Oryctolagus cuniculus: one gene and its partner. Each later gene encodes a partner of the first gene's protein in a complex. Links are inferred from orthologs where the notes say so. Each region holds a gene or a part of one and is shown in the gene's direction. Other genes may lie near its edges.

Region 1 (10,746 bases):
CAGGGAGGTCTTCCTGGAGGAGGGGCCCCCGTCCTGCAGGGTAGGGAGGGGAGTGTCCTGTGGAATCAGACCAGAGGGTGGGCTGTGTGGCTTCCAGGAGGGGCAGGCGGGGCAAGCACGTGGCACCCAGACTCCGGGATGAGCCATGGAGGGCTCCAGACCCGCACTGACCGGGCAGATGGGTTGGAGACGGTGGGGCTGGCATCAGGGAGGCGCTGGGCAGGCTTGAGGCCAGCTCGGGAGGGTGGGCCTCGGAAGAGACATCACAGATCCTAGGGCACTGAGCCGCCAGGTCTGTGGCTTAGGCAGAGGACGCTGGGAGCTGGGGACCAGCTTTGGTGGCAAGTGTTGGGACTTCCTGTTGGAGGGACCTCGGGAAACTGGATGTGGGGCTGGGGCCGGGGAGGGTGGCCTGAGAGAGGCTGGGGGCTGGGCTTTGCGGGGCAGCCAGGACAAAGCCGGGGGGGGGGGGGCAGGCAGGAAAGCAGGGAGGGGGCAGCTGCTGGGGTTGGGGAAGAGCCTGGGAGCTGGGTGAGTGCAGCAGGTGCAAGTGCCAGTGGGAGCTTTGGGGGTGGCCCAAAGGGAGCAAGCCTGGGGTGAAGTCAGTACTGCAGATGGGGGCGGGGGTAGGGCTCCCCGAGGTGGTGGACCTGGCCTGGGGCGTCAGTGGTGGTGGTGGGGAGCCTGCTGCGGGGACTCCAGCCTGGCCAGGACCTTCTTGGGGCAGCTCACTTCCTGTGGCCCCACAGCTGGAAGCTCCCAAGCTCCGGGGGTTGGGGGCGGGCACAGAGGTGTGGGAAGTCAGTGCATACCTGGAGGAGGAAGATCTGGGGGGGGGGGGGTTAAAGCAGGCAAGAAGGCTTCCCAGAGGAGGCGGCACCAGCAGGTTTTCGTGGGGTGCTGCTTGAGAACCAGTGCCCTTGGGCGGGGAGATGCAAGGGCTGGGGGCGCCCTGACCCGGCCCGGTTCCCTCAGATGTGCAGCGGAGGAAGAGCCCCGTGTGTGGTTTCGTGACCCCCCTGCAGGGGCCCGAGGCGGATGAGCACCGGAAGCCGGAGGTAGCGGGGACCCGGGACCCTCCCCCTGCAGAGGGGCAGCGAGGGGCGGGAGCTGGGGGCGGGGTGCCCGGGCCGCCTTCTCTCTGAGCCCCCTCCCCCTGGACCCTCCCCAGGCCGTCGTCCTGGAGGGAAATTACTGGAAGCGGCGGATCGAGGTGGTGATGCGAGAGTACCACAAGTGGCGCATTTACTACAAGAAGCGGGTCAGTGGCCAGTCCAGGGACACCCCCCCAACACCTCCCCCCACCCACAGTGCCCCCTGCCGGCCGCGGCCCAGCCCACTCGCCTCGCGCCTTCTGTTGCGTTCCTGGAGGGCGACAGCGCCACCGTGCGGCCACGCGGACTCCTCGCAGCCTGCTGCATCCTCTAGGGTCTGGGTTTGGGGGGAACTCCCGAGGCCGACCGAGGGCTCGCGTTTTGTGGGGGGCGAGAGCAAGGAATCGAGGGTCCGACTCTGTGTTCCTGCAGCTCCGGAAGTCCAGCAGAGAAGGGGACCTCCTGGCTCCCAAGCAGGTGCGTGCAGAGGGTGGACAGCTTCAGCCTCGGTGGACAGGGCAGTGAGGGGACCAGCCAGGGACCTGGGGTTCACTGTGCTCTATTAGTGGAGCACTTCTCCCCTTGGGAGGCCGCAGAACTGGGAGGACCCCCCCAGGCCACTGGGCAAGTGGAGGGAGGCCGGGGGGTGCCGAGGGAGCTAAGGGCTGGGCCCCAACCCTCCCCACCCCCCAACACAGGTATAAAGGGGCAGGAAGGGGTCCTCTTTCAGACCAGGATACCCCTTGGGGGAGCTGGTAGGGGCCCACGAGATGACCTTGGCCTTCCAGGTGGCCAACTGGGTCCTGCAGGGACAGAGGAGGAGGGGCAGATGTGTGTGAGGGTGTGTGGCTCTGGCTGAACCCCCCACAGGGGTGACCCAGAGGGCCGGGCGGTGAGTGCTCTGTCCCACCAGCCGGAAACGGGGTGGCCGCCGCGGGAGCGATGGTGCCAGCAGCTCTTCTCCAGCGTGGTGCCGGTGCTGCTGGGGGGCCCCGAGGAGGAGCCAGGCGGCCGGCAGCTGCTGGACATCGACAGTTTCTTGTCCGACATCTCCGACACACTCTTCACCATGACTCAGCCGGGGCCCTCGCCCCTGCAGCTGCCCCCCGAGGATGGTGAGGGCCGGGGTGGGTGCTGGGGGACGGGAGGGGGGCCGAGGGAGGCCGAGGCCTGTGACGATCCAGGCCGCTCTCTGCCTGCTGGCCCCGACGGTGCACTACTGCCCCCTGCAGCCTACGTGGGCAATGCTGACATGATCCAACCGGACCTGACACCCCTGCAGCCCAGCCTGGATGACTTCATGGAGATCTCAGGTGGGCGGGGCCCTTCCGGGGGTGGGGTGGGGTGCAGGAGCAGGGTCAAGTACAGGAAAGCCTTGGGTTGACTGTCAGACCTCAGGCCTGTCCCAGGCAGGTGGCCTGGGTGGATTCTGAAGAATCTTCCTGTTCGCCTTTAAAATATAGACTGATTGATTGATTTGAAAGTCGGAGAGAGGAAGATAGAGATCTTCCATCTGCTGGTTTGCTTTCCAAGCGGCAGCAATGGCCAGGACAGAGCCAGGCTGAAGCCAGGAGCTTCTTCTGGGTCTCCCACGTGGGTACAGGGGCCCAAGCACTTGGGCCATCTTCCGCTGCTTCCCCAGGTGCATTAGCAGGGAGCAGTGTAGGAAGTGGAGCAGCCGGGAATTGAACTGGCGCTCAGGCGGGATCTGGCATTGCAGGTGGTGGGCTTAACCCTTTAATGTGCTTGTTTGAGAGGCAGAGAGACAGGACAGACAGAACTTCCATCTGCCGATTTACTCCCCCAATGTCCTCAACAGGACCAGGGCCAGGGCCAGAAGCTGGCCACTCGATCCAGGTCTCCCACGTGGGCGGCGGGGACCCTGTTATGTGAGCCTTGCCTGCTGCCTCCCAGAGTCTACATGAGCAGGGAGCCAGAGCCAGGAGCCAGAGCCAGGCACGCGGCTTTGGGCTGTGGCCGTCTTAACCTCCATCCTGAACAGGTGGCATGTAACCATTTGGGAAAACCTACTTAAACCAAGAATGTCCCTTTGGACCCACAAAGTTCGCCTCTAGATCATTTTCATGTGCAAATAGTTCTTGGGGGGAGTGTGGGAGTTTAGAGCAGTGGGTACGGCACTGCTTAGGGCACCTGCACCCCACATCAGCATTCAAGTCCTGGCTGCACCACTTGCCATCCGGCTTCCTGCTAATGCGCACCCTGGGAGGCAGCAGGTGATGGCTCAAGTCCTTGGGCCCCTGCCGCCCACGTGGGAGACCTGGATGGAGCTCCTGGCTCCTGGCTTCAGCCTGGCCCAGCCCTGGCTGTTGTGGGCATTTAGAGAGTGAATCAGTGGATGGAAACGCTTTCTGTGTCTGTCTGTCTCTCTGTCTACCCCTCAATTCAAAAGCAAGCGTTTAAATAAAATAGTAAGTTCCCCAGCCTCCCCCGCAGGGCCACCAAGTCCATGGCTGCTCCTGCTGGTTGCGGAGGGGGTCACACATGCCCTGGTTCTCACAACAGTCTCTGCCCCACTGAGCTGTAGATGTCAGGCGGACGTCAGGGCTCGGCCTGTCTCACCTGCGGCCTAGGGGACCAAAACAGGGTCCCTGGGATAGAGGCTCAGTTTCGGTAATTCCCAACCCCTCCCCCTCCCCCTCGCCCAGGGTGCTGTCAGTCAAGAGGTGGCGGCCTATAGGGTGGGGACTTGAAGCCTATGGGGGCGGGGACTAGGGAATGAGGAACCGCCCCCAGCCCTGAGCCGGGTGGGGGCTGCTGGGGGCAGAAGTCTTGATGGCCGTGCCCCGGGAGCAGAGCGGCCTGCGAGAGCAGGAGCCCTGGGTGGGCACCCAAACCCTCGCCACAGGTAGGAGCTGGTCTGGGGCTGGGAATCAACTGTCAATCCAGGGTGGCTGCTGGGTGGGGGCGGCTATGGGTCACAAAGAACAGTAGGCCTGGTGCGGCCCCCTGGAGCGAGCACTGTGTGCACTGCCGCTCTGAGTGTCCCCAGGGGCCCCTCCCTGGGGAGGTCAGGCTGGAAACCCAGGGAGGGGCCAGGAGCCGCGGCGGGGGCACACTGGGTGAGGGGAGGCCTTGGAGGGGCTCAGGGCTCAGTGGGTGGCTGGGCCAGGAAGTGACTGCCCCAAGGTAGGGTGGGGACAGCATGGGCTGTCCATGGTCAGGGGACGGCTGGAGGCTCAGGTCTGGGGCGGGCTTGCTGTGTGTGTGGTGGGCAGCTACAGTGAACTGGAGCCTGGGCCCCCCAAGATGGTGGGACCCACAGTCCCAGGGTCCCTCAGTCCCGGGTGGCATCAGTGACCCCTGGCCCTGTCCCACCCAGTCCCTCTATTTTATTGGACCGGCACAGAGACAGATCTCCCTGGTTCACTCTCCGAATGCCCGCGACAGTCAGAGCTGGACCAGGCAGAGTCAGCAGCCGCAAGCTCCAGCCAGGTCTCCCACACGGGTGGCCGGGACCCAAGCGCCTGCTGCCTTGCAGGGTGCACATTAGCAGGAAGCTGGAGCCAGGAGCCGGGACTGGGATCCAGGCCCTCCCGGACACGGGATGTGAACTTCTGGGGGTGGGGGGGGCAGCTGAGCCGCAGCACCAAAGGCCCACAGCAGCCGTGTCCGTCCAGTCCCTCGGTGGACAGCAAGGGGCCACCTCCTAGCCCTGTGCTGAGGAAAGACACATACACACACACACACACACACACACACACACACACGGCACAGGGCATGGGGCAAGGTCAGCTCAGCTCAGCACAGCTCAGCTCTAGACGCCGGGAGGCGACGCCAAGGGGAACAGACGCTACATGCAGACAGCACGCTGACCCTCCCAGAGTCGGCCCCTTGGCCCCTCGGGCCCCACATCCTGGCAGAGCTGTCAGCTGCACGCACGCCCACACACGCACACACGCACATGTGTTGGACACCCCCGGGTCCTGGGTCCCAGTCCCAGCTGTGACTTTACTCAACCCATTCCTGGTGTCCTTAGCTGAGGTGGGGGGAGGGGAGACTCTCTGGGTTGGGGTGGGGGGCTGGAAGGGCAGAGTGAGGGCCCCCGGAGGCCTTGGGAGCTGGCGCGGACCATGGCTGGTCGGGTCAGAGAAAGGTGGCCGGAAGGGAGCGGGTAGGCGGGTGGCGCCCCGGCCCGGGATGTGGTCAGCCAGCTGCTTCCCAAAACCAGAATAGCCTAAGACTTACACAACCCGCACCCCAAACAATCCGGCCGCCCTCCTCCCCAGCGCCTCGGGCCTCCCGGCCCCCTCCCACTCCCACTCCCGCCCCACCCGACTGTCAACCCCCTCATAACACCCTGCTCTTGACCTCACAGTAAACCTAGCTGGTCCCAGCGCCTCTGACCCCCTGACCTCGCTCACTTCTAACTCACCCCGAACCCATGCTGCCTTAGGGTGCCGCAGCCCCCCACTCTGCCCTCTCTGCACCCCCTTCCTGGGCCTCCAGCAGAAACTGGAGTAGGGGGCAGACAGGGGCCGAGGATGGGGGCCCATTGGGTTTCTGGGGGTCTCTGCTTACCGCCCCCGCCATGCCCACCCCAGTCCAGCCTCTGTCGCCGCTTCCCGTGAGTGAGACAGAAACGCCCCCAGTTTCACAATCTCCTGTGTAAGCCCCCCCTTTTCCCGCCAGCACCCCCACCCCAGCCCCGGGGCCAGCCTGATGCCCTCTCTCCGCCCACTGCCTCCCAGCCCCCGCAGGAGCCCTAAGTGCCACCTCCCTGTGTGACTCAATTACAGATTTCTTCACCAACTACCGGCCCCCGCAGACTCCTGCGCCCCCGAGCCTCCCCGAGCCCCCCAGCTTCGGCCCCATGGCTGATTCCCTCTTCAGCAGCGGGGTCCTGGGCCCCGAGGTGCCCCCAGCCTCCACAGGTCCGACCCAGCTCTCAGCACACCACCGCCTGCAGGTGAGCCCACCTGGGTGAGAGCTGACCCCAGGGCCCTGCCTGGGTCTCGGCGTCCACCTGGGCAGGGAGGACCCTGGGAAGCAGAACTGGACACGAGGGAGGTTGGGAGGGAGGCTGGGGAGGAAGGCTTCCTGGAGGAGGGGGAATTGTGGGCCTCGGTGGGAAGAGACGGGCAGAGAGCAAACCAGGGGCAGAGAGGGCAGGGAAGCTGAGCCTACAGGTTCAGGGCTTGGGGAACCCTCATTTTGGCTCGAGAGCTCCAGTCGCGCTTGACCTATTGTCCCCCTCGCTGTCACACCCTTCCCCGTCCCGGGCAGATCTCAAGGCTGTTAGAGTGGCCCACTGAGGAGGTCTCTTTCCTCCTCCCTTGCTGGAAGAAAGGGCAGTGTTTTGCTCACCAACCCTGGCCACCGTCCAGGTGCACAAGCGCACCCAGGTAGTGCCTGTGCAGTGAGCGAGCAGGCTGGGGGAGGAATGGGAGATGTGCTGTGGCCAGCGGGGGACTTAGCATAGCAGGGAGTGGCCAGTGGCATGGACGGGCTGCTGCCTGGATTCCAAGATGCATTGCTTGGTGTCTCCATGAATGGGCCGGTGGGCAGGTGAGAGGCTCGGGGGGGGGGGGCGGGGTGCCCAGGTGGCTCACGGATGGGCGGATCGCTGATGGATGGGTTGACGGATGAGTGACAGGTAGTGGGGCTGGGGCAGGGAGAGGCAGGTGAGTGAGCTCCATGAGGAGGGGGGTGCCTGGGTGGAGAATGGATGGATAGAGCCTGGGTGGGTGGACTGGTCCGTGGGCAGACTGGCGCAAGCGTTAGGAGATGGGCTGCTCGTCGGGGCGATGAATGGAAGGCAGGAAACCTGCTGACTTGTGTCGAGATGCACTCCCCTCCGCTCACCAGAGTAGACTCTCCCTGCTGTGTGTTGTGTATGCGTGTGGGACTGCATGTGCATGTGTGCATATGTGTATGACTTCATGCATGTATACGTATGTGTGCGAGTGTGTGCATGTGTGTGTGTGTTGGAAGGCAGGGGTTATTTCCCCTCTCCCCCCACCAGTGTCCAATCTACACTTCACCAGGGCAGGAGCTGTGTGGGGGCTGCAGGGCCCACTCTGCTCTCTAACTCTCTGTCCACCCCTCTGCCCCCCAACAAGGCTCGGAGCAGCTGCCCTGGCTCCTTGGACCCCAGTGCCTTCCTGAGCTCTGACTTCCTCCTTCCTGAAGACCCCAAGCCCAAGCTGCCGCCCCACCCTGCGACCCCACCTCTCCTCCAATGCCCCAGCCTTGCCAAGGTGCCCGGCCTGGAGCCCTGCCCCCCGGCCCCCTTCCCTGCCACGGCGCCCTCGCAGGCTGCTTTGCAGCAGGGAGAGTCTGTCTTCCCGCCCAGGTTCCCTTTCCTGACTGCCCCTCCTGCCCCTCCTGCCCCAGGCGTGTCCCCGCTGCCTGCTCCCACCCCCTTCCTGCCCACCCCCCAGCAGGTGCAAGGCCCTGCCCCCACCACTTTCCCCCTGGGCCACCTCCCCGCTGGGTACCCAGAGCCTGCCTTCGGGCCTGGCTTCGCAGTGCCTCAGGGTGTGCGGCCCAGATGCAAGCCCCCCACCACATCCCTTGGGGGGCGGAAAGCCAGCCCCCCAACCCTGGCCCCTGCCACGGCCAGGAGCAACAACCCCTGTCTCACGCAGCTGCTCACTGCAGGTGAGACCCGGAGCAGAGCGGCCAGAGGGGGAGGAGTGGACCAGGCATGGGAGGGGAGCTGGGGGCAGGCCCAGCAGGGAGGGGTGTGGAGGAGGCAAGGAGTTAGGGACCTCGGCCAGCTGTGCCTGAGAGGACTGAGGTCGCAGTCCTGAGCAATGATGGGGCTTGGGCCAGCCTGCGCAGCCCTCACGGTCCTGCCTGTGTACAGCCAAACCTGAGCACGCCCTGGAGCCACCGCTGGCCCCCGGTGCTCTCCTCCAGCCCACGGAGTCCCCCGTAAGTTGGTGGCCACTGGGAGGGAGGTGGGGGGGGGCCCGGGGACTCTCCCCACCCCCTAACCCTCTGCCCTGCTCCACCGCAGCAGGAGCCCACCCCTGAATTCTCCTGCGCCTTCTATCCCCCGGCCCTGGCCCCTACGCCACCCCGGCCACCGCCAGGCCCCGCTGCCCCGGCCGCTCCCAGGCCCCTGATTGTCCCCAAGGTGGAAAGACTTTCGCCCCCGGCACCCAGCGGTAAAGAGGGGTCCCAGGGACTCTAAGAGACGGAGAGGCTGAGGGGGACAGGGCAGTGGGACCCCCCCACCTGTGTGTCGGTCTGTCTGTGGGCCCCTCTGTCCCCGCTACAGGCAGTGAGCGGCGGCTGTCAGTGGAGCTCAACTCCGCGCCCTGCCAGGCGGCCCTGAGCCTGCGAGTCTCTCCCGCTCAACCCATCCTGAGCCGCGGCCGTCCAGACAACAAGGTGGGGGCGTCGTCCCCCTGGCTCCGAGCCCGGGTCTGCCACCCCCAGGCTCGCCCGGGCCCCCGCCTGGGCTCACCCGGTGTCTGCTCCCCAAGACCGAGAGCCGGCGCATCACGCACATCTCTGCGGAGCAGAAGCGGCGCTTCAACATCAAGCTGGGGTTCGACACGCTTCACGGCCTTGTGAGCACGCTCAGCGCCCAGCCCAGCATCAAGGTGCAACCCCCATGCCCGGGCCGGCGCCCCCTGCCCACCGCCACCACGGGGCCCCTTCCTGCACCTCCATGCCCGAGACCGCGTCCGCACGCTCTGCGGTCTCCTCCCGCCCCGCGCTGTGCAACGGGTGGGTCCCCCCGACACACACACGTACACCCCGGGTCCGAAGAGACGGCCCCCAGCGCCTGAGCGCCCCCTGCTGGCGGCCGCAGGTGAGCAAGGCCACCACGCTCCAGAAGACGGCCGAGTACATCGTCATGCTGCAGCAGGAGCGCGCGGCCATGCAGGAGGAGGCCCAGCAGCTGCGCGACGAGATCGAGGAGCTCAACGCCGCCATCAAGTAGGCAGGGTCCCTCTGGCGGGCGCCGTGGCCTCCTGGGGAGGGCCGGGACTGTCTGCCTCCCAGCCCTGAGCGCGCCCGCCTGCGCCCGCCCGCAGCCTGTGCCAGCAGCAGCTGCCCGCCACGGGGGTGCCCATCACGCACCAGCGTTTCGACCAGATGCGAGACATGTTCGATGACTACGTGCGGACGCGCACGCTGCACAACTGGAAGTTCTGGGTGGTATCCTAGCGCGCGCGGCAGCCCAGGGCCGCTCCCAGGGGAGGGGCAGTGGGGGAGGGGGGACGGGCTGTGGGTCTGCCTCCTGCTCCCTGACCCCTGGCTTCTCGGTCAGCGCAAAGGGCCGTGGAGGGACTGGGAGAAGAGCGTAGGAGTCAGGGCCTTGGTGGGGATGGGACGGGTGCACCAGCGCGAGTCACCGGAGCCTGTGGTTGGATGGTGTCCAGGCCCCACCTAGGGTCAGGGCTAGGGTGAGTGAGGCTGTGGGGGCACCAGCCTGGCCTCAGACCCGCTCCTTGACCTGGGACCAGTTCAGCATCCTCATCCGACCCCTGTTCGAGTCCTTCAATGGCATGGTGTCCACGGCCAGCTTGCACAGCCTCCGTCAGACCTCGCTGGCCTGGCTGGATCAGTACTGCTCCCTGCCGGCTCTCCGGCCAAGTACGTGAGCCACCTTGCAGGCGCGTTGCCCCGAGGGTGGGCAACTGCTCAGAGCCCTGCTCAGACCCCAGGTCCCTCTGGCCTCCCACACAGCCTGGGATCTGCTCCCTGCAGGGTCTCCCCACTACCACCACCACCATTTGTCCGCAGCATCCCGGGGTATAGGGCCTGACCCCAGGTGACAGTCTGTCTCCCCACTGCCACCCCCTAGCCGTGTTGAACTCCCTACGCCAGCTGAGCACGTCCACCAGTATCCTGACCGACCCAGGCCGTGTACCTGAGCAAGCCACGCGGGCAGTCACAGAGGGCACCCTTGGCAAACCGCTGTAGTCCCGGCCAGACCCGGCTGCCCTGGGGCTGTCTTCCCCGGGCATGTGCTCCCCTACTGCCCCAGGCCCTGGCTCTGCCCTCCCCTGAGGATGGATTGAGTCAGGTCCCGCCGAGTCTCATACTGTACACCGACGTGGGCCTCTGTCTTCCAATCTGCAAAAATGGACACACGGAGGCTTCCAGCAGCCGACGTCCCCAAGGCCTTAGCAACAACCATGACGTCAGCACCTGCACTGGTGACTCAGGGAGTTCAAAGAGGGAAGAGGTCAACCCCACCTGCTCCCCAGCAGCGGGGCACGGTGTGGGGGGCTGGGGAGGGCCCCTGGAGTGAAGCCAGAAAGACCTGACCCTGGGAGAGACCAGGGCAGGCGTCGCATGTGCGTGTGTGTGTGTGCGCATGTGTGAGTGTGTTTTGTAAAGAATTCTTAACCAATAAAAGCAAAAACCGCCTTGCTGTTTTGTCCATGTGACTGTCCACGTGCCTTGTCGGTGGCAGTGGGAGGAGTTGGGAGTCCCCGACCAAGACCTTGCCCCGGGGTGGCGGGGAGAGGTGGGCTGGGCTGAGAATAGGTACACGAGCAGGAAGACCAGTTAGGAGGCTGCTGTGTGTGTCCAGGTGGGGCCAGGGCCTGGCTCCTGTGCAGGAAATCCTCCTTCCAGGCCAAGAGAGAGGCCAGGGAGGCTGCCTTTGGGGCTGGAAGAGGGCGGAGCTAGGACGATGGGAGTGGAGGTGCCACTATTTCCTGTG
Region 2 (11,221 bases), on another chromosome or scaffold:
TTGCTATGACCTGAGAAAGCAGTGGAGGATAGCCCAAGTGCTTGGGCCCCTGTACCCACATGGCAGACCCAGAAGAAGCTCCTGGCTCACTCCTGGTTTCAGATCAGCTCAGCTCAGGCCATTGCAGCCATTTAGGGAGTGAACCAGTGGATGGAAGACCTCTCTCTCTCTCTCTCTCTCTCTGGCTCTACCTCTCTCTGTAACTTTGTCTTTCAAATAAATAAAATAAATCTTTAAAAATAAATAAAATTTTTTTTTAAAATACACTAAATAAAAAGCTTTAAAAAATACCCACAGACATTTCTTCTCTTACAATTCTGGAGGTTAGATGTCTGGATTCAGTATGTCAGCTGCAACTCTGGAGAGAATCCTGGTTTCTGGTGGTGGCTGTGGATCCCTGGTGGTCACTGGTTTATGGCTTCATCACCCTGGTCTCTGCCTCTGCTGTCATGTGGCATTCTCCATGTGTCTCTGTCAGCACGTGCCATTTTCTTCTGTGGGGATACCTATCATGTTAGAATAGGGCCCACTCCAGTAGCCTCAGCTTAACTTGATCACGTCTGCAAAGACTTTGTCCAAATAAAGTCACATTCACAGACATATAAGGAATAAGATTTCAATCTATCTTTTTGGAAGACATAGTTGATTCTTAGGAATAAATTAACAAGCTAGTACATTCATACAATAAGATATTACTCAGTGAGAGACACAAAGAAACTTCAAATCATATTGCTTAGTGAAAGAATTCCGCAGGAAAAGGCTACATACTATGTGATCCAACTCTAATGACATTCTGGAAAAGGCAAAATTACAGAGTGCAAAAGGTCAGTGGCTAGGGCCAGCGCTGTGGCGCAGCGGATTAAAGCCCTGGCCTGAAGCGCCGGCATCCCATATGGGCACCGGTTCTAGTCCCAGCTGCTCCACTTCCAATCCAGCTCACTGCTATGGCCTGGGAAAGCAGAAGATGGCCCAAGTTCTTGGGCCCCTGCACCCACGTGGGAAACCCGGAAGAAGCTCATGGCTCCTGGCTTTGGATCGATGCAGCTCCAGCCATTGCAGCCATCTGGGGAGTGAACTAGCAGGTGGAAGACCTCTCTCTCTGTAACTCTGTCATTCAAATAAATAAAATAAATCTTAAAAAAAAAAAAAAGGCCAGCAGCTGCCAAAGGTTTGGGGGTAAGCTAGGAAGTTCCTGGAAGACCAGGAGATTTTTTTTTTTTTTTGACAGGCAGAGTTAGACAGTGGGAGAGAGAGAAAGGGAGATTCTTTTTTTTTTTTTTAAAGATTTATTTATTTATTTGAAAGTCAGAGTTACACAGAGAGAGGAGAGGCAGAGAGAGAAAGTCTTCCATCCGATGGTTCACTCCCAGATGGCAACGGCCAGAGCTGCGCTGATCCAAAGCCAGGAGCCAGAAGCTGCTTCCAGGTCTCCCACGCAGGTGCAGAGTCTCAAGGACTTGGGCCATCCTCTACTGCTTTCCCAGGCCATAGCAGAGAGCTGGATCAAAAGTGGAGCAGCTGGGACTTGCTTCAGACCAGGGCATTAATTCACTGCGCCACAGCGCCAGCCCCCAGGACCAGGGGATTAGTAGGGTAGCAAACTCTTCTGTATACTTTAATGACAGCTACATCACATTGTGCATTGTCAAAACCCACAGAACTGTGTACAATACAAAACATGAACTCTACTGTAAATGGACTTTAAACATAATGTATTAATATTGGTATATCTATTCTAGCAAATACACTACACTAATACAATATCCTAATGATAAGGGAATCCTTATCCGAATGATAAGGGAAACTGTGAGCCTGGGTGTTTGTGGGGGGTGGTTGGTGTTGGGGGGAGAGGGAAATATTAAAATTCTCTGGTCAATTTTTCTGCAAACTTAATACTCTAAAAAGCCTATTAATTTTAGAAAATGCATTGCAGAATCGAAAGCTCAAGCATCATCTCTCCCAGGAAGTCTTGCCTGCTCTTCTGCCACACCCCCAAGATGGGTTAGGGGCCCTTCTCCCAAGCTTGAACAGGACCCTGCGCACATATGGTTGCGTATTCCACATCCTGTTTTATACCTCTTTGTATGACTGCCAGTTAATAGCCATAGCTCACTGACCTCTGTTCTAGAATGCAGAGGTGGCAAAAGGAGCTAGCTATGCAATCCGTTAGCAGGCACCCAGGGATGCCTGACAAAGGGCACTTCTGTGCTGCCGATGATGTAACCTGTGGTGGAATCACTATGAACCCTCTGACTCAGTAGGCTGTGTTCCGGGTGGGAGCATAAGACACAGTCACGTCACGTTACAGCTTACTGCTCCTGAGCAGTCTCTGGATCACTGGCCTTTGGTGTGCAAAGATCCCCACAGGCAAGTTTTTGCACTGGCAACTCTCTCTGGGATTCAACCCAGCGGTTCTGATTCAAGTCCACGCTGCTTACATTCTATACCAGGTTCCCAACTTCGTCAAAGTTAAAAGCCGGTAAGTGGTTCAGGCCGTGTGGGATAACCCAGGCGTTGCAGGCACAAAGGCCTATGCAGCGGTTACTGTAACTGAGGAAGGCACATTTGGGTGGCAGACTCAGATTTGCAGGGCACCCTGGCACTTTGGGAAGTCCGTGCCCAGTCTAGAGTAAGGCAGCCACTCCCCGGCTTCGGCCAAGTGTTGCCAGAGAAGGCAGCGATGGCCGGAAATCTCTGCTTTCGAAAACACTGCCAACTCAAACTGTTTAGAAATAGTCCCGCTGGGGGGTAAGGAGTCATCCAACGGGGTTAGGGTATTTACGATGGGTTATGTATGGGTAAGGGGAGCTTCTGGAAAACCTTGATTGTAACACTCAAGGAACTTACTATTGATAGTTTTCAAGGTCTGAGTGATCAGCAAAGGATTTAAGTAGGGACAGAACATGATTAGAATGGCATTAAACATTTTTTAAAAATATACTTGAGAAAGAGCACTCGCATTTACTGGTTCACTCCCCAAATGGCCAGACCAGCCCAGGCAGAAGCCAGGAATAGGAACTCAAACCATGTCTCCCAGGCGAATGGCAGGGATCCAACTGCTGGAGCCATCACCTGCCGTCTCCCAGGGTGGGACTTAGCAAGAAGCTGGAATCTGGGTGCCCCCCACCGTAACTGCTACACCTGCATTTTTAGATCAGTAGGCAGCTGATAGAGGCGGGGCTGGGCATGGTGTGGCGAATTAGATCTCTATCATTAACTAAATAAGGGTAAGGGAGAGATGACAGCAACGCGACCCAGGTACTTTTTTCTTCTGCCGCCAGACTCCCAGGGGAGCAGGGCCCCCTCTCTCCTGTGTATTGCTGTCTCTCCAGCACTAAGCGGAAAACCCGCTCCGCATCTGTCAGCATGAACAGGTGAGAGGCCAGAGAGGGTGAGGGGCCACGCGGCCCCGTGCGCCTCCCTGCAGCTTCCTCAATGAAGAAACCATGTGCACAGGTTTTTTTCAGAAGACCTTCACGTGGCCTCTTCAGGCTATGAGGGCAGGAGATAGTCCCTTAAGTACAGAAAGGCGGATAAACCGAAAACGGGGGGACGAGCAATTTCTGTCTTCCGAGGTCCAGTTATTCGCACAGCACGCAGCCAAAGGGTGTGTGCGCTGGGGCTCCGACCCCCGGGAGGACTACTTCCGGGGTGGCGTGGGAACCTGCACCCTGGGAATCGCTGTGCCTGGCCCTGCCCAGGCTCCAACCTAAGCAGCGCGGGCGCTCCCCCACCCGAGTCCTCCCTGTTCCCACACATCCCATCTCTGGACCTCCACCCCCATCTCCGCCCTCTCTCCTCCCGCCTCCTCTTCCCGTCCCCCCGCCCCACTTCCTTCCCCTTCGGCCGCCTCCTCCCTGCTACCTCTCCCGGCCCTGCGCCCGCCCCGGTCCGCTGCGGCCCTGCACTGGGCTCTTCTTCCTCCTCCCTGCCGTCAGCGCCCCTCTCGGGCGGCCAGGGCAACCCCGTGCCTCACTTGCCCAATGAGAAGACGGCGCAGGGAGGGGCGGGGCTTGAGCCAAGCGGAAGCGGTGGCCGGAGCGGAAGTGGAGCTGCAGCCACCGCCGCCGCCGATTCCGGAGCCTGGTTAGCTGCTGCCGCTGCCGCCCCTGCAGCCGCCGTCGCCGCTGCCTGAGGAGCAGGCTTGGGAAGGAAGCGGTCGCCGCTCTCGGAGCTTCGCTCGGAAGCCTCTTTGCCCCCTGCAGCCCTCCCACGGTGAGTGCGGCGCGGGCCCGCCCGGGGCCCCCAGGGGCCCACGCTCCAGGTCCCCCTCAGCCCGCGGCTGCGATGTCGGCCCTGCGGGTGAGCCCCCGGGGGTGGCGGTGCGCGGCTGCCGCGGCCCTGGCTGCCGGCTGCGGCGCGGGCCCGACCTCGCCGCGGCCCCTCCCTGTTTCCGGGGCCGGGCCCTTCGCCTGCAGAAGCCCGGGCCTCCCGCGCCGCCGGCGGCCCTGCCAGGCGGGCAGGGTGCGGCTCGGTACTGCGGGTCGGGGACGGCTGAGCCTTGGCCCCGGCCCCTCCCTCCTGGCTGGGCTTTTATCCCCGGCGCGACCCCTCCCTGCGCCTCGGTCGGCGAGAACTACCCTTTTCAGCCCTGTCACTGCGGCTCTGGGGCTTTCCGGCTTCCAAAAATTAAAATTTAAGCAAACGCAGGCGAGTTCTTGCGCCCCGGTGCCCCTGCTTGGCTACCCCTGGATGAGTAAGGGGTTTAACCTTGGGAGACAGCAGGGGGGAAACCCCCACCCACTTTGCAGCAAAGCCATTTCATCATCCTCCGCTGGGTACGGAGCCCGGCAGGACCCGAGATTCCCTGGGAAGATCAGGTCGGAGGTTTGAAGCAAGAAAATGCATTTGTTGGGACCGATGTCTGAGTCAGGCCGGATCTCCAGGGGAAAAAAGCCACCAGCTGGTGTTGGGAATATTTTCCCAGGGCATGCGCCGTCATTTAACGCCCGAGTGTTTCGTGTCCTCGGCCCAGATTCCCCCTGACTGTGTGTGAGAGCACGTTTTTCAGTCCCGAATTTCCCTGGTAGCCGGGGGAAGGGATGAGAACGCTCGACTCCTTTTCTATAGAAGCTGAGTCCATTTTTGCCTATTGCAAATGGAGAACTCGCATGTAATGGAGTTTTCAAAGGTGGCAGCATTGGCTAAGACAGTTTGCCAACCTTTCTGTAAAAATACATGGCGTCTTGTCCTTGCCTTTGCTGCAGTTCTCTTTGGTAAAGGCTGGATGGCATCAGGCTCTGATTTTCCTTGCCCTGTGTGGGAGCTGGAATTTGGCAAGATGATGTTGCGAACATAGAAAATCGGCTGGCTACAGGAGCCACGAGGGAGAAATGGAGCGCTGGGAAGCTGAAGGTTCCTTGCACTGATTACTTTGTCTGAATGGTCCACATGGAGGCACACACCATATACAGTGATGTAGAAATGGACACGTGGCCACTGAGATTTCTGCATCTTCCTGTTGGAATTTTGTATGTATAGAAATATTGCTCGGTAGTGAATTTCTTCATTGCTTCCAGTGCACGCCATTTCTTTCTCAGGGATATTTTAGATATCTGAGCCCTCATTTTTTCTGACCCATGTCTCTAACAGCACATAGTATGGAGAGTATAAAAACTGGTCAGTTTTGTCAGGTCCAAGTTGGAATTTTAAGCTTGGCCTTCAAAATGGGTGGCTGCAAATCCAGTAGCAATGGCTGGATTATTTTCCCATCTGCCTTCAATGAGATAAGTCAGTCACCCATCTTACAGATGAAGTCTGTATGAGAAAGGTGATTTGGCCTAGCCCACACACTTAGCTTCACACTGAATATCCTTATTCATCAGTAGCAAATATTTATGGACCGTAAGCCCCTGGAGTATGGCTCCTACCCTGTAATTTTGTGTACATTTCCCATGATGCAGTGCTTGTGTTATGGTGAAGCCATTTTAGAATTGGATCTCCCTGGATCAGGGAGGCAGCCTTTCTGAAACCAGGCTGAGCAGATTCCCATGGTGCTAGTTCCTAGGCAGCGTCTCCGGAGATCTGAGCCACTGCGAAATGTGCATCTTGCCCATTTGGCTGTAGGTGCAGAAACCAAAGGAGTATTGAAATTGGAACCAGGTAAATGCACTTCAGATGTAGGCGGTAATATTTTTTAGTATGATTTGCAGCATTTTAGTTAATCTCTAGTGTGGTCATGAAGCTTTTTTACAAACTGTAAATTGTTAAATGAAAGCTTTTGCTTTTTTTTTTATGACAATTTGCTTTTCTCCAGTTACATTTGAGACCCAGCCCTGCTTTGTGCACATACTGCTTTCAAAAAATGGTGTTGTTACCAATTTTTATTTTGCACATAGAAAATCTAGTCTGTCATTTTCTCATCTGTACAGTGCAAGTGGTGATGCAGCCTTTGATGTATTGTGACAACTCAGTAATTAAAATGAGCATCTGGGATACAGAAGGTGATTAACCACATGCGTGAATGTGCACATGTGCAGATCAGGCGTAGCGTATATTGTATGACATAAACAGGAATGTAGACTACACCTGTTTGATTTATTTATCACCGATGAAGTAGCATCAAACAGTAATAATAATAAATAATAATTACAGTATTTGCTGTGTGCCACAATTTGTTCTAAGCATTTTATATTAGTCTTAATAACAACTAGTGAGAGGTAAATACTGTTAGCCTCATTTTACAGATGAGGAAACTGAGGCACAGAGAAGAATAATTTTCCCAAGACCCCTTCCATGTACAGCTCAAGGTAAGTTCTAGAGTCAGGAAGGAATTGGAGCCAGGTGATCTGGCACTAACAAAGAGTAGGTGTCTACTTGTAGAGCAACACATGCCGATCATTTATTTAAACACCATTTAGCCTTTAATTTCTCTTTACATGTATTCTATATCCTTGAATTTGAATTGTAGCTATTTTTGACAGTAGATCCGTAATGTACTTTATGGGGGGGGGTGCCCATTCTGACCTGTGGGAATGAAGCCGCAGGTGTGCATCATGAAGCACGCCTGGGAGGAATCCAGTTTTTCTAGGGCGAAAGCTCCTGGGTTACTTTGTGGGACACAGACCTAGATTCTTCATCAAAACGAATTTGATCATGACCATCATTAGTTTTTATTTATCATGTATTTTTCTGTAGATTTTGAGATTTAACATAGTTTGTTGGAGTTGAAGGAATATATATGTAAAGGAAAAATTTTAAATTACAGTGTCACGTTATGCTACCTGCTCCTTCAGTGGCACCAAACTAAGCAGTTTTTCTTTAAATAAGAATGCTTTAGGGGCTGGTGCTGTGGCAGAGTGGGTTAACACCCTGGCCTGAAGTACCGGCATCCCATATGGGCCCGGTTCCTGTCCAGCTCTCTGCTATGGCCTGGGAAACAGTAGAAGATGGCCCAAGTGCTTGGGCCCCTGTACCCACGTGGGAGACCTGGAAGAAGCTGCTGGCTCCTGGCTTCGGATCGGCAGAGCTCCGGCCGTTGCAACCATCTGGGGAGTGAACCATCGGATGGGAGACCTCTCTCTCTCTCTCTCTGTGCCTCTCCTGTCTCTGTGTAACTCTGACTTTCAAATAAATAAATAAATCTTTAAAAAAAAAAAAAAAGAATGCCTTAGAGAGTAAATAAAAATTTCTTTGTAAAGAGAGTTTTAAGTTCCTTGGTTCCTACATTTTTTTAGGGGAGGTGATGGTTCATCCTAGTAGGGGGCAAGAAAAGCAACTTAAGCTTTTTTTTTTTTTTTTTTAATTTAGATATTTATTTGAAAGGCAGAGTGAGAGAGAAGGAGAGGCAGAGAGCTCTTCCATCTGCAGGTTCACTCCCTAAGTGGCCGCAACAGGCAGTGCTGGGCCAGCCAGAACCAGGAACTTCATCCTGATCAGTCTACATGGGTGGAGATCTTCCACTGCTTTCGCATGCCATTAGAGGAGCTGGATTGGAAGTGGAGGAGCTGGGACTCAAACTGGCTTGCCTGCCTTGCAGGCAGTGGCTTAACTTGCTCCTCCACAGCACTGGCCCCACAACTTACACTTTAGAGCGATCTTGCTCTGTGTGAATATGGTCCTCATAGTCACCTGAGTGTCATGGTGAGACACAGTTGGAGCTGCGTTCGGAAGCGATAATTCTAAGGGGAATACTTAGGGAGGAAAAATAGAGTACTTTGTATTTTTGTGATGTATGTTACAGCTTTTCCTACTATAAGATCAAGTAGTGGCATCTTAAGTGTTTCTGATAGTTGTGAGATGCAAATGAGAGATGGTCTCACCAGGATGGGTCATTCCCAGCAGATTTTGGAGCAGTTGGCTCTTTTAGGAATTCTGGCCAATGCTTTATTATGTACAGTTTTCATATACTGTTTATTTGGTTTGTTTTCCTTAAGAGACCCAATAAGTAGAGTTATTTCTGAGTGGCCTTGACAAGGATAAAAAGATTGAAAGCTAACATGAAGTAGTTAGGAAACTTCTCTGTAGTGCCGGTCTTCAAAAAGCTGGAGATTCTGTCTTAAGCAAGCATTGGGAATCAGTCTTTTTTTAAAAAAGATTTATTTATTCATTATTTGAAAAGCAGAGTTACCGAGAGACAAGAGGCGGGGTGGTGGTGGAGGGTCTTCCATCTGCTTATTCACTCCACAAATGGCCACAATGGTTGGAGTTGTGCCGATCTGAATCCAGGAACTTCTTCTGGGTCTCCCATGCAGGTGCAAGGGCCCAAGGAGTTAGGCCATCTTCCACTGCTTTCCCAGGCCATAGCAGAGTGCTGGATCAGAAGTGGAGCAGTGCCCATGTGGGATGCCGGCAGTGCAGGCAGAGGCTTTACCCGTTATGCCACAGCACCAGCTCCTGTAATTGATTTTTAGTAGATAGTGCTGCATTAAAGGAGTGTTGATTTTTAAATTATGACTGGTTTAGATCCCAGTTCTACTATTTATAGCTGTGTAACCCTGAGCAGGTTACTATTTGTAAAAGGGTACAGTGTTAGCTGCTTCATCAGATACTGAGGATTAAATGAGTTGATGTAAATCCTTAAGTGCCTTGCACATTTAGGTAGACCATAAGTTATTTGTTATTTACTAAATCAGCTGGTGTTTTGTATTGCTTAACCAGTTGTGTGTGTTTTTTTGTTGTTTTGTTTTGTTTTTTTGACAGGCAGAGTGGACAGTGAGAGAGAGAGACAGAGAGAAAGGTCTTCCTTTGCCGTTGGTTCACCCTCCAATGGCTGCCGTGGCCAGTGCGCTGCGGCCGGCGTACCGCACTGATCCGATGGCAGGGGCCAGGTACTTGTCCTGGTCTCCCATGGGGTGCAGGGCCCAAGGACTTGGGCCATCCTCCACTGCACTCCCTGGCCACAGCAGAGAGCTGGCCTGGAAGAGAGGCAACCAGGACAGAATCCGGTGCCCCGACCGGGACTAGAACCCGGTGTGCCGGCGCCGCAAGGCGGAGGATTAGCCTAGTGAGCCGCGGCGCCGGCAACCAGTTGTGCTTTTGAATGAAGGAGATGGACAGGAGGTATTCTGAGGGCTTATTTAAATTCACTTTGAATATATAAGTTCAAAGATTAGTGGCTGGAAAATATTAGTCAAAAAACTTAGTGTTGTCTCCTGATAAGAACTGAAGCAATTCTTTTCATAAGGCAGGCTCAGATAGACTGTACATTTATCAGAGGTGGTCTGCCTGCTTTGTCCACATTGAAAAGTACAGCTTGTTCACCTTAAGAAAAATGCATCAATTGATTGGATGGTCTTAAATGTATTGTGTCAGACATAGTGCTGAGTTGGGTGTCCAAAGATAGAAGTCTTGGTTCCTACCTTAAGCTCACAATCCAGTGTGGGAGAAGATATTTGCAAGTAAACCATGATAAGTGCTATTCTAGAAATAGGCACAGGTAAATTAAAATGTACTTGTCTTAGAAGAGTCATTGAGGAAAGCTGCTGCCAGTGATGTCGCTGTGGCCATCTTGTGCCCCAGCTGCTCCACTTTCAGTCAGGCTCCCTGCTAATGGCCTGTGAAAGCGACAAAAGACGGCCCAAGTACTTGGGCCCTGGCCACTCATTTGGGAGACCCTGGCTTGAGTCTTGCCCAGGCCCCACCGTTGCAGCAGGTGGAGGATCTGTCTCTTGCTCTCTCTGTTATTCTTTCAAGTAAAAAAATAAATCTTTCAAAAAAAAAAAAGGGGGGGGGGCAGCCTAGATTTAAAAGAAACGAGGTAAGTAGTAAGTGCCCCTTCTCTGGCTGGCTGTTAACTTTTTGAGTGGAGTATACTGACTGCCATTTATTTAAGCACTTAACAAGTGCAGGGACTGGGCTGTATGTTTTTGCATCATGAGCATATTTACTCCTTTATAGAACTCTGAGGGCTGGTGCTGTGGCATAGCGGGTAAAGCCACCATCTGCAGTGCCGGCACCCCATTTGGGCGCCAGTTGGAGTCCTGGCTGTTCCACTGCAATCCAGCTCTCTGCTGTGGCCTAGGAAGGCAGAAGATGGCCCAAGTCCTTGGGCCCCTGCACCCATGTTGGAAACCCGGAAGAAGCTCCTGTCTCCTGGCTTCAGATCTGCCCAGCGCCAACCATTGTGGCCATTTGGGGAGTGAACCAGCCAATGGAAGACCTTTCTTTCTCTCTCTCTCTCTCTGCTTCTCTGTAACTCTGCCTTTCAAAAAATTAAATAAATATTTAAAAAAATAAAACTTTTAAGCAGTGTGTGGTTCAGACAAATAGACTTTGTTGTGTTCGTGGGCCCAAATATTTAAACCTATTCATGAGGTCAATCAATTGGGCTGTCTCTGTGGATCAGTGTTAAGATACTGTCTTTTCTCATTGATCGTTTGAAGCCAAGAGATCAATTTACTGTTTTATCTGCCATTGATTCACATTCTGTGATCTTGGGCATGTCACTTAATGCCTTCATTGTTTTAAGTTTAATCTTAGCTAATTGGATATAATTGGATATAATTGGATAATTGGATATAATTATTAATGATAACAACTGATGTTGTTGATGAAAGGGTAAGGATTTTTTTCTTTTAACTTTTAAGCTTTTTATTCAGTGAGAGAAATGTATAGGAGAGTAAGGGCCCTGTCTAAGAAAGGGAAATCTGGATTCATACTGAGCACCAGGAGCAGCCACATGAAGGAGCATGCAAGCCAGAAAGCATGGGGCAGGTGGTCCAAAGGCAGGGGCAGCAAGTGGATCTAGGGCAAAGGAAAGAAAGGGCTGGGCCCACGGTTT

Evidence for each region.
Region 2: the proteins of MLXIPL (region 1) and YWHAB are in contact, whole or in part, in a crystal structure (PDB 6YGJ), measured with the Homo sapiens proteins. The link is inferred for Oryctolagus cuniculus from reciprocal best matches to the Homo sapiens genes MLXIPL and YWHAB. Residues at the interface, in NP_116569.1 of Homo sapiens: Asp118, Ile120, Arg121, Asn124, Ala125, Trp127, Arg128, Ala129, Trp130, Tyr131, Ile132, Tyr134; in NP_003395.1 of Homo sapiens: Gly55, Arg58, Ser59, Trp61, Arg62, Ser65, Ser66, Gln69, Lys70, Arg129, Val178, Tyr181, Glu182, Asn185, Leu218, Gln221, Leu222, Asp225, Asn226, Leu229, Trp230.

What each region holds. Positions count from the first base shown.
Region 1 is NC_091450.1:50,445,681-50,456,426, forward strand, and holds the end of MLXIPL (carbohydrate-responsive element-binding protein), read left to right. Parts: intron 1-975; coding exon 976-1,058; intron 1,059-1,171; coding exon 1,172-1,261; intron 1,262-1,526; coding exon 1,527-1,571; intron 1,572-2,007; coding exon 2,008-2,209; intron 2,210-2,326; coding exon 2,327-2,407; intron 2,408-5,851; coding exon 5,852-6,021; intron 6,022-7,174; coding exon 7,175-7,715; intron 7,716-7,923; coding exon 7,924-7,991; intron 7,992-8,076; coding exon 8,077-8,227; intron 8,228-8,340; coding exon 8,341-8,453; intron 8,454-8,548; coding exon 8,549-8,668; intron 8,669-8,880; coding exon 8,881-9,008; intron 9,009-9,106; coding exon 9,107-9,230; intron 9,231-9,538; coding exon 9,539-9,668; intron 9,669-9,879; coding exon 9,880-9,998; 3' UTR 9,999-10,448; downstream 10,449-10,746. UniProt on the Homo sapiens protein: Binds DNA as a heterodimer with MLX/TCFL4 and activates transcription. Binds to the canonical E box sequence 5'-CACGTG-3'. Plays a role in transcriptional activation of glycolytic target genes. Involved in glucose-responsive gene regulation.
Region 2 is NC_091442.1:14,267,072-14,278,292, reverse strand, and holds the start of YWHAB (14-3-3 protein beta/alpha), read left to right. Parts: upstream 1-4,079; 5' UTR 4,080-4,215; intron 4,216-11,221. UniProt on the Homo sapiens protein: Adapter protein implicated in the regulation of a large spectrum of both general and specialized signaling pathways. Binds to a large number of partners, usually by recognition of a phosphoserine or phosphothreonine motif.